Linked DNA regions of Arabidopsis thaliana. The protein of the gene in region 2 interacts with the protein of the main gene of each other region in a pairwise test. Each region holds a gene or a part of one and is shown on either strand. Other genes may lie near its edges.

Region 1 (6,644 bases), on a different chromosome or scaffold from region 2:
GGAACAAATTGCAGATTAATTTCACAAGTCACAATCTACAGTTCTTAGCTAAATATTATAGTGATCAGATGTCTCTTAGTAAAAAACGTTTTAGCTTTGCCAAAATATATAAAATATAAATTAGAATCAATACATATACTTGGAATCATATGACTTTTTTTTGGGGGCTTGGAGAAAGAGCATTGTAGTTGTAAATATTATCAAATTCCCATGCGGTCATGTCATGTGCCTTACATGCAATTGAGCTACACCAAGTTGAGAATCAGCAATAAAAAACCTTTTTTGATCACTGTGAAGTGTGAACCTTTTTGCATGATTAAAGAGAAAGAAAACAAGTTGAGAATAATGTTTCTTGTCTTAATACTGCAGTATTTTCTGATGACTCAAAAACTAGAGTGAGCTTCAAAACTTTTGAACCTTAAATTTTCGTCATGAATTGATGATACATATATATATATATATATAAACAAGTAATGAACCTTTTTTTCTTTTCTAAATCATATATTCCCGATCATGAACTTTTTAGATTCAGGGAAATGTCAATAAGTTTTTTGCTGTTTTCGTTTTCCCTTTAATAATATGCACCACCAATATATGCATACTTTCACTTTCACTTTTTGAAAACAAATCATCTCAGGAGAACTTTTGAAAACCGAAACGCATGAGAACCTAAAAGTATACTATTGGAAGTAGAACTAGTAGATGGGATAGGCAAATCTATTCATCTCTATTAAAAAAATATGTATAAGAAAAGCATAACATTCCGATTTTAGATCAAAATCATCATTGTTGGTTGCATCCTAAATGTCTTTGGAGCAGTTTCTCCTACTAATCTCAAATTATACAAAAGAGAAATATTACAGTAAGATCAAATGTTTGTTGCATGTTCCTAACTTCAGTCTTCAGATTCAAATCACAGTTACAAAACTGCTTCAGCCGCCTAACAATTTGGTTCTGAAACATATGAATTCCTAGAAGAAACCACGAACAACTGACCAGCTCTCTTGAAATCCATTACTGCTCAAACGGAACTCGTATGAACAACCGTCCATGCATGCTCATGACCGCGGATGTGTGAAGCGGATCAATTCTTGCTGATAAGTCAACAATCTGGTGAAAACATATCAAAATGACAGGAAGGTTCTCAGTCTCTGTATCAGTTCAGTTAATGGACATATCTGGAATATAGAAGAAAGTTTTACCTTTTTGAAGGGTGTAATCCCCCAAGGATTGTCAAGCTGCTCTGGCTGGCCTGTTATAACCACCTTTCCCGCAGGATCTGATTGAATTCGAACCTGAGAAAAGACAACGTATGTTCAGTAATTGGAACTATGTACTGATTTTACCAGAAAATACTTATTGCCTACAACACTGTGTACTGAGACTATGAAACTAAAGCCAACGGATCTGCTTTGGTAACCTACCAAATCGCTTTGTGCTTGCTTTGTATTGTCACAGTAATATGCATTCAAACAAAATTAAAAGACAAGGACTTATCAAGTAGCCTTCAGAGACAGGGTTACAAAGGAGTGCTCACCTCTTTGCGAAGAAGTCCAGGTACCAAGGCAAATATCTCGAAGGAATCCTTCTGTGAATTCAAGAAAAAGGAAAACAGATTTGGTAAGAATTCCATATTGGAAACAAACATCCAGTTTGCAAGTTTTTGGCGTTTCTTTAGCCGTTGGCAGAAGTTACTCACAGATTCTTTGACATTTATCTTCACCCAGTCAGCAACGGGTCCAACATCAACAACCTCAGCAGCCAACCTATCATGACAAAAAGGAAACCTTAACGTTAATCTATAGTAATATGTTCAGGTCCAGAAAATGCTACGTTTTCATCTCATTACTGCTAAGAGGCATTGAAAGAAGAACCAAAAAACTAATATAACTATCTTAGAATTGCAAATAAGAAGGAGAGATCAGCTTTCCGTAACTGTTTGTCAGCTTCATTTGTAACAACATGGTCCATGCTAGTTTGTTGTTTGTGTTTTTGCAGCCCTGAAAAAACCGTTTAAAACATAACGTTAAGCAACCCTCGTTGACAAAATAGCAAAGCCTTGAGAACTATTTTGTACCAATGCTTTTGAGTTTCTTGTGCTTTGGGGTGGAAATTAAGCCCTTATCCTGAAACAAAAGGAGAACATCATTTTACTTCCGAAATAAAAAACGACAAAAGAAATAAAAAGTCTTCTTCTTTCTACATGTGAGTCAGATTCCTTGGTGCATGAAAAAATTCTGCATAATGGAATCACAAAGTGCAGTAAGATTTGAAGTGAAACCTTAACAGCAGGCGCAGTAACCTCTCCAGATCCAACAAGGCGCTGCGCATGCCAACCTTGCATAGCACGAGCTGCAGAATCTCTTCGTGCCCTGCCTGACCCTGAACCTTGATGGCTACTTGGCTACAGCAAAGTCCTTGTATCAGGGAAGAAAAAAATATGGAGAAGGGAAAAAAAGGGAGGCACATGAATTTTCGTTTAGGTTTTCTGCAACTTATATGGTAATTTACTGGGTTATGCACACGGATTTCTTATGGCTTTTGTATCGAACACAAAATGGCTACAGCTTTCTTCAGTCAGATTGCAGATAGTTGGGTTTAAAAGGTTTAGCTGGTATTACATAAATGCTGAAAAATAACTCTTATGCTATCATTTCTTCAGTATCAACGACATTTAATCACAGTACATGAAACCTTCCCACAATAAATTGACAAGTAGATACTCTTCATTAATTTTACGGTGCTAGATCGATCTTCATCCAAACTTTCCATATCTACCATTATTTCTATATATTATTCAGTAGTGTCTAAAATCCAAAAGCCATTTTTTTAGGGGAAATTCATACCTCTTTCTCGACACTGGAAGACAGAATCAATGTTGAACCAGGAAGGTTAAGCTCACCATTATTCCTTAAACACTTTTCGTACTCCAAAAGTGCCTGCAATTGAAGCAAAGATATAGATCATATGTACCTGTATCTATATGATAAGATAGAAAGAAAACAAGCAGTGCATTCAAACTTCGAAGTGACAAAAGAATAGTCCAAAATAAAGAGCTACCTCAGCAAGACAAAGAATTAAACTAACTATTATAACACACCATACTAAGAAGAAGCACAAGGAGAATTGTCTGAAGTGGATAAGTAAAAATGAAGACAGGATAAATATACGATACTTATGCACAAAAACAAACTCACCTTCTCATAGAAATTGCGGAATGTGTAGGAGACTGTTGTGCATGTCCTGAATAAAGATAGTTTAACCAAATGTGGAAAAAGATTAGCATTATGAAAAATTGGTAAAGACTAACGGAGAGTCTAAGGAAAATATCAGCCATACTTGGGAGGATTGAAGGATTCTCCAACTTGCCGCCACAGCTTATTTGTGGTGACCTACATTACCATGAAAAAACAAAGGAATCTTAAAGACCATAAGTCCAGCAGAAGATTAAGAAAACATTGAATATATAATTCCAAATATAGCTAACAACAGTAAAATAAATCAGTTTCCCAAGAAAATATCGAACATTCTTTAATGTTTGATATGTTCGCTTAAAGTCATAAATCTTCTCTGAAAGCCACATCGTTATAGATACTCTTATCATAAATTAGCTTACGGATTCAATAGTTATACCCTATATACAGTTCATATGCCATCCACAATTCAAACAATAAAATGTAGGTGATAATCATACGGGCCAACTTAAATAACCAAGACTTATAAACTGACGAACTAAAAACGATATGGTTTTGGATAATTACCACTTCATAGCCACCTAGGTTCACGACTGCTCGCCAAAGCCTACATTGGATGCAAAAGTGAGGCACTGATTAACCAGATATATGGGTTTATTAAGAACAAAAGCACCACTTTTCCAACAACTCACTTGAGAATGTTTAAAGGCTGTCCATAAAACTTAGGAGGTTTAAATTCCAGGAAACTCTCTTTGTAAAAGGCCTCCACTTCTCTTAGAAACGCCACTTGTTCTACCGGTGTCCCTGCTTCATCAGTTCCCTGTGCCTGTAGAGAAAGGTGAACCAGTAAGTGAACAATCACCACATAATTTTCGACCACAAAACAGTGAAATCCAATCCTGAGAAAACAAAAAGACACAGGCTTTTTGAGCCAAATTGAAAGAAACATAGCCTAGTACCTCAGAATCCAGCAGCCAAGTCTTCCTCTTTTTGGCATTCTCACCTTCAGTCTTAGGACTCAACATTTGCACCCTACGAGTCTTCCTTTCAGAGTGGTCAACAACTCCAACAGCACCACCATTCATGCCATGACCATTATTAGCCTGACCATCTCCAAGAAGAAGGGGCTGCGGGATTTCACTAGGGTTGTGATCATTTTCTGGCTCCAAAGGTTCTTCCTCTAAATACTTTGTCTCAACAAGGGCACCAAAAGTCACATCTTGCTCTTGCATTTCGGTATCCACCATCTTAAGCTTCGATTTCTGTTGTGGAGTAGTCAGTCACAGCAAGACAAGGACAAAAGAACAAATCCAGAAGAAAAAAACGAAGAAGATAAAAAAACTGTATATAACTAACTATTGGTGATTCCAGATTAAACAAAAAGGAATTGTCTTTCTTCTCCGCCTGGAAACTATAGCTTCTCTCTCTCTCTCTCTTCTATCTCTAAACGCAATTAAGAATTGGAGCAAACTCACTCACTCTATTACTACAAAACCTCATCCTAATCAAAACTACCACAGATAAACAAGCCGAGAAGACCTTTCAGCTTCCATAGAATACAGAGAGCAGCAAAAAAAAACATATGCTTACCAGTTCTGCAGCGACGGCGACGGCGAGTAAAGGTTGGTATGAGAACGCAGGGACTCCGACGGCGCGCTAGGGTTTAGCAGCCGGAGAAATTGAAAGAAGCTGGAGGAAGAAGAAGAAGAAGGAGATACAGAGAGAGAGCTGAAAAAGGAGAGACAATTCGAAAGAGGAGAGACAATCTTATGTTAATGGAGGAAGGTATTAGTAAAAAAGATGGGATGGGGGATGTTATGTGGTTTTTAACTTTAATTTGTTTTACACTCAAAAAGTAAACAATTTCTTTTCTTCTTTTTGTATCTATTAGTCTTTTTAGACTTTCTTAATTTTTGGTAAATATAGGATTTGTAACCTTTTATTGTTGTTGAATGTTGGGATTTCTACTATATGTAATAACCACGAAAGATAAACATTGAAAAAGTTTTTTTTTTTTTTTTGCCAAAGGGTGTTATTATATATATGAAACATTGTACAAAACATATATACATAGAAGAAAGGAGCTATATGAAATTTAGGTTTACGAAATTACGACAACGATTACGGAGGAAACAAAGAAGATCGAAATTAGTATAAATACGATACAAAAAATATTAAAAAACTTAGGTTTATAGAAAAGTTTATGAATTAATTTTATATTTTTAACAAGAAGTTCAAGATGATAATTAAAATATATGATGTTGAGACTTGGAAATAAAATTTAGGTTTCATGATTTGGAGTTAAGATGTGAAAACTATATCATAATGGAAATATCTATATATACATGTTTGGAGGGGATTTTTGAAGATAATGTTGAAGATTTGAGCCATAATTCAACAATTAATTCAAATGGGTGGGTTTTACTCGGCTTAACTCTGTTCAGATCCTGGATAACATGTTTAATTCAGTTCTGATCTTGGATAACATTAGTTTTTGGAAAAGTTACCTAAAAACTAATAATTAAAAACGAAAATTAATGATTTAATTACCAAATTTAATATAAACAATATCTCTAAACTAACCATATTTCTTATTTACCTTAACTAATTTCCTAAAATATTTCTACCTAATTTAAACATAAATATATAATTCTTCTTTCAATTTTATTTGATCTTATACTTTATTTATTTTGAATTTATATAAAATATATATAGTTAATAAAATATTATATTTTTTTCTGAATATGATGTAATTCAAATTTTTTAAAACGGACATATATTATTCAACCTATGAAGAAATAATATGTGTACAATGTCCAACATCGCTTAGAAAAATTGGACAATGGTTCAGACCCATATTATAAAAGGACCAAAATGATTCTGATTATGAATGAGCATGAAGCTTGATTTATCAGGCGTCCAAAATTAAAATAGTTATCCGATTTTACTCGGATTTTTTATTTTAAAGAATTAAAACTTTAAAATGTTTCAAAAAATTATAAATATTATAACTTTATCAAATGTTAAATATTATAATTTTAAAAACTTTTTATAAAGTTTATCTTTAAAAAATGCTTTAAATATTTATAATTTTAAAACTTATAAAGTTTTAAAAATTATAAATTGAATTTTACAAGAAATTTAAACATTACAAATATAGAAAAAATATATTAATACGAGATGATATATTACAGGAAAAATCTTAAAAATTGGGTCGATATTGTATTTTTTTAAGTTTCAAATTTTATAATATTGAAATTTATAAGAAAATGACAAAATTATGTTTAATTTCACGGGACTGGATTATATGGTAGGACGGGTTTGGGTGGATAATAATTACGATTTTAGAATGTTCTATATCGCTTAAAAAAATTGGACAATGGTCAAGAGCCATACTATAAAAAGGACCAAAATGATTTCGATTACGAATGAGCATGAAACTTGATTTAT
Region 2 (3,565 bases):
TTGTTGCTAACAACTGATATTATATTATCGCGTATATGTATGCAAGAAGAATCAACCGATCGTCAAGGATATATTAAAGCCTGCTCATGTTATGTTTTCCATTCTTTGCTAGAGAATATTTTTATTTTCGTATTCAACCTTAAGGTAGTAAATGTAAATCATATTTTGTTACAAAAGTTAAAGTAGTGGTCGGAAAACACTAGTTTCCTTTTATTCGCATTACAAACAAAACAAATAAATAATAGGTTTGGACTGTTCGAAGAACAGAGTGTTCTAAGGAAACAGAGTAATTGCAGTCAAACACCTATTTTATGTAGCTAAATTATTTTTTCTATTTTAATATAAGGTGCTAGAAAACACAAATCCCTCTAATTAAAAAGTTGGATTTTATGGTCGTCAAGCCACAGCTAGGGACACTCTTTTTCTACTTAGCAGCAATCCCAAATTACCAAAAATAAAAATAAAAAAATGAAGGCCCACCGTTGAAAAATTAGAACATGCATGGAACAAAACCAAAAGCTAACTCAAAATATTCAAACTCTCATCTCTCTTCACTACTTTAGATATCTTTCTTCTCATTGTTGTATCTTTTCACTACATTAAATTCCCACTTTTTCACACACGAACACATGTGTAATTTTTAGTTTTTGGTTTCAAGTGTTCAATTGGTTTACATGGAGAAAAATCAGAAAATAACATTTTTTTATAATACTATACATAACATAGCATATGATCGATTGCTCTTATAGAAACTAGAATCAGTGTTTCAAAAGAGGCCAATTCAGATCAAAATGTCTTGAAATTAGCCTTCTCTCACTACTACTCTCATCACTTACGACGCCGTTTTTGTGGAAACAAAAATAAAAATGAAAAGAATACGCTAAAACGACAAGGCCATTTCTCACAGCGTCTGAGTTGGTAAAACAGAGCAAAGCTCAATGGAACCGTAGTGAAGCAGCTCCTCAATCATTTGCTCGATATGATCTTCCTCCAATGGCCTAAAATTCTGTTGCATATTCGCATTTCCATCTTCCCACTTGATCTCTGTCGTCTCCGTTACTCCTCTGTTCAAATGACTTTCGTTAGCCGTCACACCGTCACTGTCCGCGGATTGTGATCTTGCGGTCTGCGTTTGCGTTTGTGTTTGCGTTTGCTTGGTCATTTGAAGAGAAGCCATGTAGCATTTGTGGAGTTTAGCGGTAAGAGTTGCTGATAGAAGCTTGGAAGAGGAAGTAGGAATGGCATTAGGGTTGTATGGGAAATTAGTACGAGCTCTCGGGCCACACATTAGCCTAGCCGCCTCGTCGTAGGCCCTTGCTGCATCCTCCGCTGTCTCAAACGTCCCTAGCCAGATTCTTGTTTTCCTAAAAAAAACAAAAAAAAAACAAAAAAGTTTAGCATTACTCAAATAAAAAGCGACCGAGGGTAATTTCGTAATTTGAGAGGATGATGAGGGAGAGTTTTTACAAGAGAGGGTGACGAATTTCGGAGACCCAAGAGCCCCAATGCCTCTGTCTAACGCCTCGAAAGCGTTGTTGTGGTCGTGCCATTAGTGTGAATGGTAAATGGAAATAGGGTTTCAGGTGAGTTTGGTGTGTTTGTGGAAATGTTTTGAAAGAAGAAAGAATGATGAGAGTGAAGGAGCGTTTTTGGAAGAGTGAAGGGTAGCTATATAAGTAGTGTTGGCTTTAGCTTCATGAGAGAGAGAAATGTTTTTGTGTTAAAATTTTCTTTGGCAATAAACTGGCAATCAATTTGGTCCTAAATTGGACCCACACCATTACCAATACGACTCAGAAAATCTCATGGATTTTGTTTGATGTGAGAGAGAGAGTTATATTAATTTATTTAACTTAAAGTATTCTTAAATTTACTTCATTTGTTGTATTCGAAGTTGCTGCGACATGGGCAAATGGATTATCTAATTCTGTCACATATTATAGTGAAAATTGAAAGCTTCGAAACTACATGCTAAACTGTCGGAAAAGTGTTTTTTTTATTTAGAGATATTTTTTGGAAAGTATTATCGTAATTTATCTAAAAGTTAAAATAGAATTTAAATTATGAATTAACAAACTTATCACAGTTTTTGTTAGAATACAAAATTACAAATGTTCAATAGTTTCATATGAATTTATTTCTGTAACAAAAGCTAATTTTTTATCAACAAATATAAATTAATTAAAACGGTTTAGAAATCAAACCTAAGATAATTTAATCCAAACCTTTTTCTTTTCCTTTTGTCCCAAGTTACACATATTATACTTAGACAATTATAGTTATAATATCCTAAGTTATGGGGTATTTTTAAGATAAAACTAATAAATAGCTCTAAATATAATAACAACCCTACGTATATAGCATATATATTTATCAATTATTTTAATTTTCCCATTGTGAACAAGTTGGATCCAAAGAGATTTGGCTGCGGTGAAACTTCAAACCCACTGTACCTATTTTCACATGGGTTTGATCATCACAACATGTCTCTATATCATAGATACTGCCAAATTTTTCCCCAACTAATTAATAATAACGATAAATAATTGGAAAATATATAGTTTGATAACTAGCGAGACTCTTTCATCACCATTCTTCACCCATGTGAGCCTTTGATAATGACTCAATCAAACACCCAAAACCATCTTCGATTATCATCTTCTCTTTTCCCTTCTTTAATATTATTTTGTATTGTTATTATTGAAACAAACCTTAATGTATTGTCATCATACCCATGATTTCTGAGTGTACAGTTTACCTACGAGTCTGCGACCTATTAAAAAAAAAACTCTAATACATTATTTTTCAATTAAAAACATAGGTTTAATAATTAATAAATATGTGATTATGCCCATTACTGAAACTTGGAGAGGGAATTAGTATAATATTGCATAAACTTATCTACAATTTTTAGATAGTAGTATATGTTAATTGTATAGGGAATGTCACATAGTAACCACTTCTTATTTGGGTTTATATATGGATGTTTTTGTTTGCCAATTTATCTTTTGTTCGACAAAGTTTCATCAAATAAAAGTAAAGGTTATGTCGATCATATTCAGTCGCACGCATATTTAAAAAAAAAATAATCTCCAATTGAGACTATATCCTTTTAGAGTCAATTATAATTGGAATAAGAGGTAATAGAAGAATATGTTGGGCAAAAGAGTGTGTAGGTAGAATGGATACATCAAAATAACAAGTGCCAAATATTATTAGTTCAATCCAGTATCAAATTGATGAAAGAATCCTAGACCGCAATTATGACGACAAGAAAAACAACTAGAGAAGGTCATTAACTTTTTATCAAATAATTGATCATTTTCACCCTACTAATAATCATTCTTAACCCTAATAATTATTCAACATATGCTTTTTTTTGTCTGTATATTTGCATCCATGTCCATAAGAAAACGAAAAAAAAGAAAGTAACTTATCTCTCTCGGTGGTGTAGTAAAAGAAGGATGGTACTGAATGCTAATATCAGCAAGTTACATAATGGAAATATATATGTACCTTTGAAATAACAACATTACTACAACTGTAATTTTAATTAAACAAAAAT
Region 3 (5,416 bases), about 15 Mb from region 2:
CGTTTCACCAGGACGTGAGAGGCTTGAGATTGGAGAACTGATGCAGCGTAGAAAGGAGAAACGTAAGAGCAGAAGAAAACGAAAAGAAACTAAGTTGAGACAGAACATCGAGAAGGAGAATTGGGTCCAAAGTAATGGTTGTTGGTCCAAAGAAGAAGATTTAGTAAATTGTGAAGTGAGATCAACAAAAGAAGAAGAAGAGTGTGGAAGCTGCGATGATTCGAGCCCTGTCTCGGTTCTTGATTATGACCGGTATGCTGGTGTTCGAGTAACTCCATCACCAGGTTGGTAATTCTTCAGTATTGAAAATTGAAATGTCCTTTCTTGTGTTATTAAAGCATACTTGTTTCCTTGTAACAGGAAACATTTCAAGAAGACGGTTGTCTTCAGAACTTGAATCTAGTAAGCTCAATGAAACGATTGAACAAGATCACATCACATTGACAAGTAGATCAAAAGACCAAGAAATCCGACTTCATGGCTACCAAGAGATGTGGCTCATGATCTGCAAACTCACTGTATCTGACCTTGAAGGTTCAGATTGGTTTAACGGAAAAGCTTTAAAGCTCGAAGATATAGAAGGAATCATAAGCGAAGATATAGTCTCAAACATCTTAGATCAACTCTTAGAAGAAACAATTACAACACTTTCCCTAACTTCACAAGTGTAAATACATTTCTGTATTCCAATTATATTATTACTAAAAAACATATATATTCAGCGTGAGAGTGTTACCAAGAAAAAAAAAAATCGATTACTCATTGTGAATAGTAAAGAATCAAGGAAGTGAGGTGAGGTAATTCAAGGTTTCTTAGGTTTTGAAACCTTTTTTCACCTCTGTTTTTCTTTGGAGACAGAGAGAGAGACAAACGAACTCTCTTTTGTCCCCTAAGAATTTTTTCTTTTTATTCTAAAGAAAAATAACAAAGCATTAAACAAATAAAATGAAATAGATTAGCATCGACCTCTCGGAATCTTTCTGACTTTGCTTCTTGTGGAACGGTTAATGAAAGTTCAAAACTTTTGATTCAAGCCACGGTCTGTTCTGTCTCCATGTATGATTGCTCCATCCAAACCGGAGCTAGTCTTGTCTCCTGTGGCTCTTTCACCAGCGGCTCCACCCATGAGACATCTGGCTCTTCGAGCCCAGTCCCTTCGTTAGGCAGTCTTGATTCCATGCCACCGGCTCTGAGACGGAAAGAAGTGGATTTTCTGAGCTTCTGTAGCTCGTCTCCTTGGACGCTCCAGTCAAGCTTCCCATCCAATGAGCCCCAATCGTTTAAACAAGTTGTAGTCATGGAAGAGATTGCGGGATGGTGATTCAGTCCGTTGTTGCGTTCTATGAAGCTTTGGCTTCGCTGTTTAGCAAATTCAGCCGCTCTTGAAGCCAAGACTGCGGAGGAATCCATCGAAAACAGAGAATTGGCTCCCACAGGTGATGAAGAAAGACTGTTGGAATGCAGCTGCGGGTTAATGACGCTGCGTCGGATCTGCAAACCCGATGTATTATCCTCTGTCCCAAACATATCACTGAGACTATTCACCGGGCTCATTGCTCCTCCTGCAAGCCTGTTCATGCCCTTTCCGGAGAATGGAGATGACATTGGCGTGTTGTTCCATGTAGTTGGAGAAGTAAGACTTTGCATCTCTTCAGAGAAATCGATTTCTCTTGCATTCAATGCAGATTTCAATCTGCTCCCTGGAAGCTGCAATGCAGGAGGGGTTATGTTAGGCCAGTTCATCCACGTTTTTCCTCCACCTATTGGAGAGGATACACCGTTAGGACTCAAAGGAGGTGTGGTTGTTGCTCCGATAGGAAGCGGACTAATCGGTCCCATGTCGAAAGCGGTCGAGGAATTGCAAGATGAGAAGGAAGACCGCGGGGACGGAACACCTGATCCAGTTGAAGGGTACAAAGGACGCAGCTCCTCGGGTTTGTGGGCAAAGAAACAAACTCTTCTCGAGCAATTCGTCTCGTCCTTGCAGAGACGAGTCCGGTACTGAGCCGGGTGAAGCCAGCACTCAAAGATACCATGAGCATACTCGCAAGTATCACCTCTGGAACAAGACCCCTTCCGGAATTCAGGACAAGGGACACAACTATAATGGTACTTCCTCGGATCACGCCTCCTTGCGTTCTCACCCGGATGAACAAAGGGACATTCCGTCCAGTCGTGAGAGTATGCTCTAGAGCACGGCTTGATCTTGAAAGCATACATCCGGAACTCATCCGTCCCATATACACCGTTCTTGATATCAGGAAGCGTTGGATCAACCGGATACTCCTTCCTCTCAGACCCCCGAGGAGGCGAAACCTCAACCTCAACCTCAACCTCTGGCTCGCTTTCTTCTTGCCCATTAACTTCATTCAAATCATCATTTCCTTTCAACAAACGCTCCAAAACCTTCATCCTCGCGCTAAAAACCGGACTCAAACAAGGGAAAATCACATCTCCAGGCTTGTTACCATAAGCATCACAAGAATCCGGATTCGCAGAGCCCTTCAGCAGAAGAGTAACAATCTCAAGGCTATTGGCAGACAAGCCAGAGACCGCACAGTGAAGAGCCGTGGCACCATCAGAGCCACAAGAGCGGTTCACGTCAACAAGACCAGTACTAATGATGTAATCAACAACCTCTTTGCTTCCAAACAAGGCAGCAATCATAAGAGGCGTCCTCTCCTCAAAACCCATCTTCTTTGATCCTAATCTCCTCCCATACCACAAACCAGAGCCATCAATGCTCTCAAGACCTTCTTCTTCAACTAGAGACTTAAAACCGGACAAATCATTGCAGGCTGATGATTCTAGCAGAAGAGAGAATTTGAGGTGAGACAGCTCATCAACTCCCATGGCAAAAAAAAGCAACAATCTTTTCCCGCTCTATTGATTTCACTGCAAAAAAAATTGCAGAACAAATTGAAAAGGATGAATCTTTTTTCTTCTGATTAAAATGGTAATATACATAGAACAAAATCATACAAAACAGAAATAAAAACTGCAGAAACGATTAAGCTAAGGAGAGAAGGAAGAGTTTGTTAGTTTGGGATACAAAGTTTCCAACTTTAAAACAAACCAAACCAAAAATAAACACCAACAGATCCATAATTAACCACTTTTGCAACATCGAAAACTAATCATATTGTTAACTCATTTTCCAATCAGCAAAACAATTAAAAACAAACTGCAAACTCTAAAACAAATCGACATATATGGATTCAACTGAAACTAAATTAGTGACTAATCAAATCAAAGAAACAAAGAGTAAAGATTTTCTACCTCTGAGTCACAGAGACAAACTCTCTCTTTTCTCGACCACCACTACCAAAAAACCGCTCTTCACTTCCTTTAAACGAGTACTCAATTAGTCAATTTATTGAAAAAACAAATCCGAATTTTTTTTCTTCTTCCTCAAATTATGTTTTTTTTCTTCTTCTTCCTCTCCTTGTCACTTTCTTCTTAAGGTCAAAATAATAGAAGTTTTTAAAAAAATGAAGAAGCTTACTCTAAATAATAAAACAAAACCACCATCTCCATCATTCTTCTTCTACTTCTCTCTCGTCTTTTTTATTTCTATTTATTTATTTTACTTTCAATTTTAATTTGTAAAGTCTGAAGGAAATGAAGGTGTACGTTAGACTTCACACAGAGGATCTTCGCTCATCGGTTTTGTCACGCTTCACGCGTTTTTCCGGTTTTTGGTGGGATGACGTGGAAACCATGCATCGTCAGCATGTTTTTAAAATGAGCTACTTACTTTTCTTCTCCATTCACGAGCTAAAGATAAAACCACTGCCTGTTACCTAGAGTTATATAACCAATTAACCATAGCTTTTTAATTGGTTTGTCACCGCCCCAGAATAATCTCAACATGCACCAAAACACAGAATCGGAACCGTCTCGAGTGGGTTTCGCTTGATAGCAACTCTCTTTTGTCATAGCTTTGATTTGAGTTATATTCATCAAAATTAATTATCATAAAGTTTAAAGATAATTGAGATAATTATTATAAAGTCGAGAAATTGACGTTTATGTTCAGTTTTTTTCGGTCGACAATTCCAACAAAAAGACGATTAGGTAATACAAATATCCTAAGAGACTAAAATAATGTGTATTTAAATTCGGTAATGGAAAGAATTCGAACAAACCTTACCAAACTTTGTATTTTCTGTCGCTATGCTTGTATTATTATATTAAAAGATAGTGATTCGTGATCCATGACAATGTTGTACTACTATATAAAAGTAGTCATAAATTGCAAATGTATAATAATATTTTTTTGAAAACGACTACTGTTTTGTATTGCAACCAGACCAAATCCAAATGCATGCAACCGAACCCATCAATGCTTTTTGCAGCGGCATTAACGAAGCTGCTCCACTGGCTCTCTCTCACATCATAACACAAAGCCATTTATTTTCTCTTCTTCTAATTTACAGTTCTAATAAATAAGTAAAGTCATAATATTAATATGATAGTGCAAATACTGTATATATACACGACAAATTATTAATTTTTAGATAATTATATCCTGTTTCTTAACATAAACACTGTTGATTCCCAATGTCAAATCAATATTTAAAAATTTGTTATAAGTCAGTCACTCAAAAGACAATGGTATGAAAAATGCTGAAAACAGACGGTCAAGATCTTGTATTCACGATGAGATATATTGTTAGGTTAATTTTGATATAAAGCGAAATAAAAAGGGAAAAAAGGTAGAAAAGTCTAAGTGTACAATTAGGAAAAGGACCCACAAGAATCCATAATCTGACTAGAATGAATGGAATAAGAAGCATGTGGGACCAACTGAAAGCGACTAAGCATTGCTATTTGCTATTTTATCAGCCGACGTCGCTGCGACAAAACCCCAAATGGCAGAGCCTTATTGGACAGACCATATTGACTTTTATGGTCCTAAATGCAGTGAATTATCTCTCTTCGACTTGGCGCCAAGCACTTCTGGGCCAGAAATACCGATGCGGGGCTATACGAGGATAATGATCTGTTTCAAAGCCCATAATTAAAGACCTAGGTTTGGCCCATTAGTCTATCTTCTTGATTTAAAAGAAGGAAGCCAATTTCTTCTTCATGGACGTAAATAAAAAGAACTGGTAACTAATGAGATAGTATCTTACTATCTTCACAAGTAAAAGTCATATGGTGAATCCGAAGAAAGAATGTCGTATTCATGAGCTATATCTGAGAAGAGTGAAAAACAGAGTCAAAGTCAAAGAGTGATGAGCAAGCTTTAATAGTACGAAAGTAGAAGAAATAAAGAAATAAGAGGGTGAAATGGGTAAATTTTGGATTTTTAATTAGGAAATAGTGCAAATTGACCAAAATTAAAAATCTCCACTCTTTTCGCGTGTATCAACCAAAAAACAACATCAATGTCCTTTAGTTTTAATTAATC

Evidence for each region.
Region 1: the proteins of ESE3 (region 2) and AT1G20910 interact in a two-hybrid assay, tested with the Arabidopsis thaliana proteins (one large-scale study listed by BioGRID).
Region 3: the proteins of ESE3 (region 2) and AT5G58620 interact in a two-hybrid assay, tested with the Arabidopsis thaliana proteins (one large-scale study listed by BioGRID).

Annotation. Positions count from the first base shown.
Region 1 is NC_003070.9:7,276,195-7,282,838, forward strand, and holds AT1G20910 (ARID/BRIGHT DNA-binding domain-containing protein), read right to left. Parts: upstream 5,043-6,644; 5' UTR 4,785-5,042; intron 4,457-4,784; 5' UTR 4,442-4,456; coding exon 4,154-4,441; intron 4,021-4,153; coding exon 3,887-4,020; intron 3,802-3,886; coding exon 3,762-3,801; intron 3,393-3,761; coding exon 3,340-3,392; intron 3,244-3,339; coding exon 3,198-3,243; intron 2,940-3,197; coding exon 2,847-2,939; intron 2,405-2,846; coding exon 2,282-2,404; intron 2,127-2,281; coding exon 2,078-2,126; intron 2,001-2,077; coding exon 1,937-2,000; intron 1,767-1,936; coding exon 1,700-1,766; intron 1,589-1,699; coding exon 1,538-1,588; intron 1,296-1,537; coding exon 1,203-1,295; coding exon of another isoform or gene 1,125-1,202; exon of another isoform or gene 1,111-1,124; coding exon 1,015-1,110; 3' UTR 749-1,014; downstream 1-748.
Region 2 is NC_003076.8:8,706,106-8,709,670, forward strand, and holds ESE3 (Integrase-type DNA-binding superfamily protein), read right to left. Parts: upstream 1,781-3,565; 5' UTR 1,551-1,780; coding exon 1,468-1,550; intron 1,365-1,467; coding exon 902-1,364; 3' UTR 640-901; downstream 1-639.
Region 3 is NC_003076.8:23,691,396-23,696,811, reverse strand, and holds AT5G58620 (zinc finger (CCCH-type) family protein), read right to left. Parts: upstream 3,554-5,416; 5' UTR 3,280-3,553; intron 2,896-3,279; 5' UTR 2,854-2,895; coding exon 1,030-2,853; 3' UTR 672-1,029; downstream 1-671. Other genes in the region: TRM31 (uncharacterized protein), read left to right, coding at 1-284, 361-671.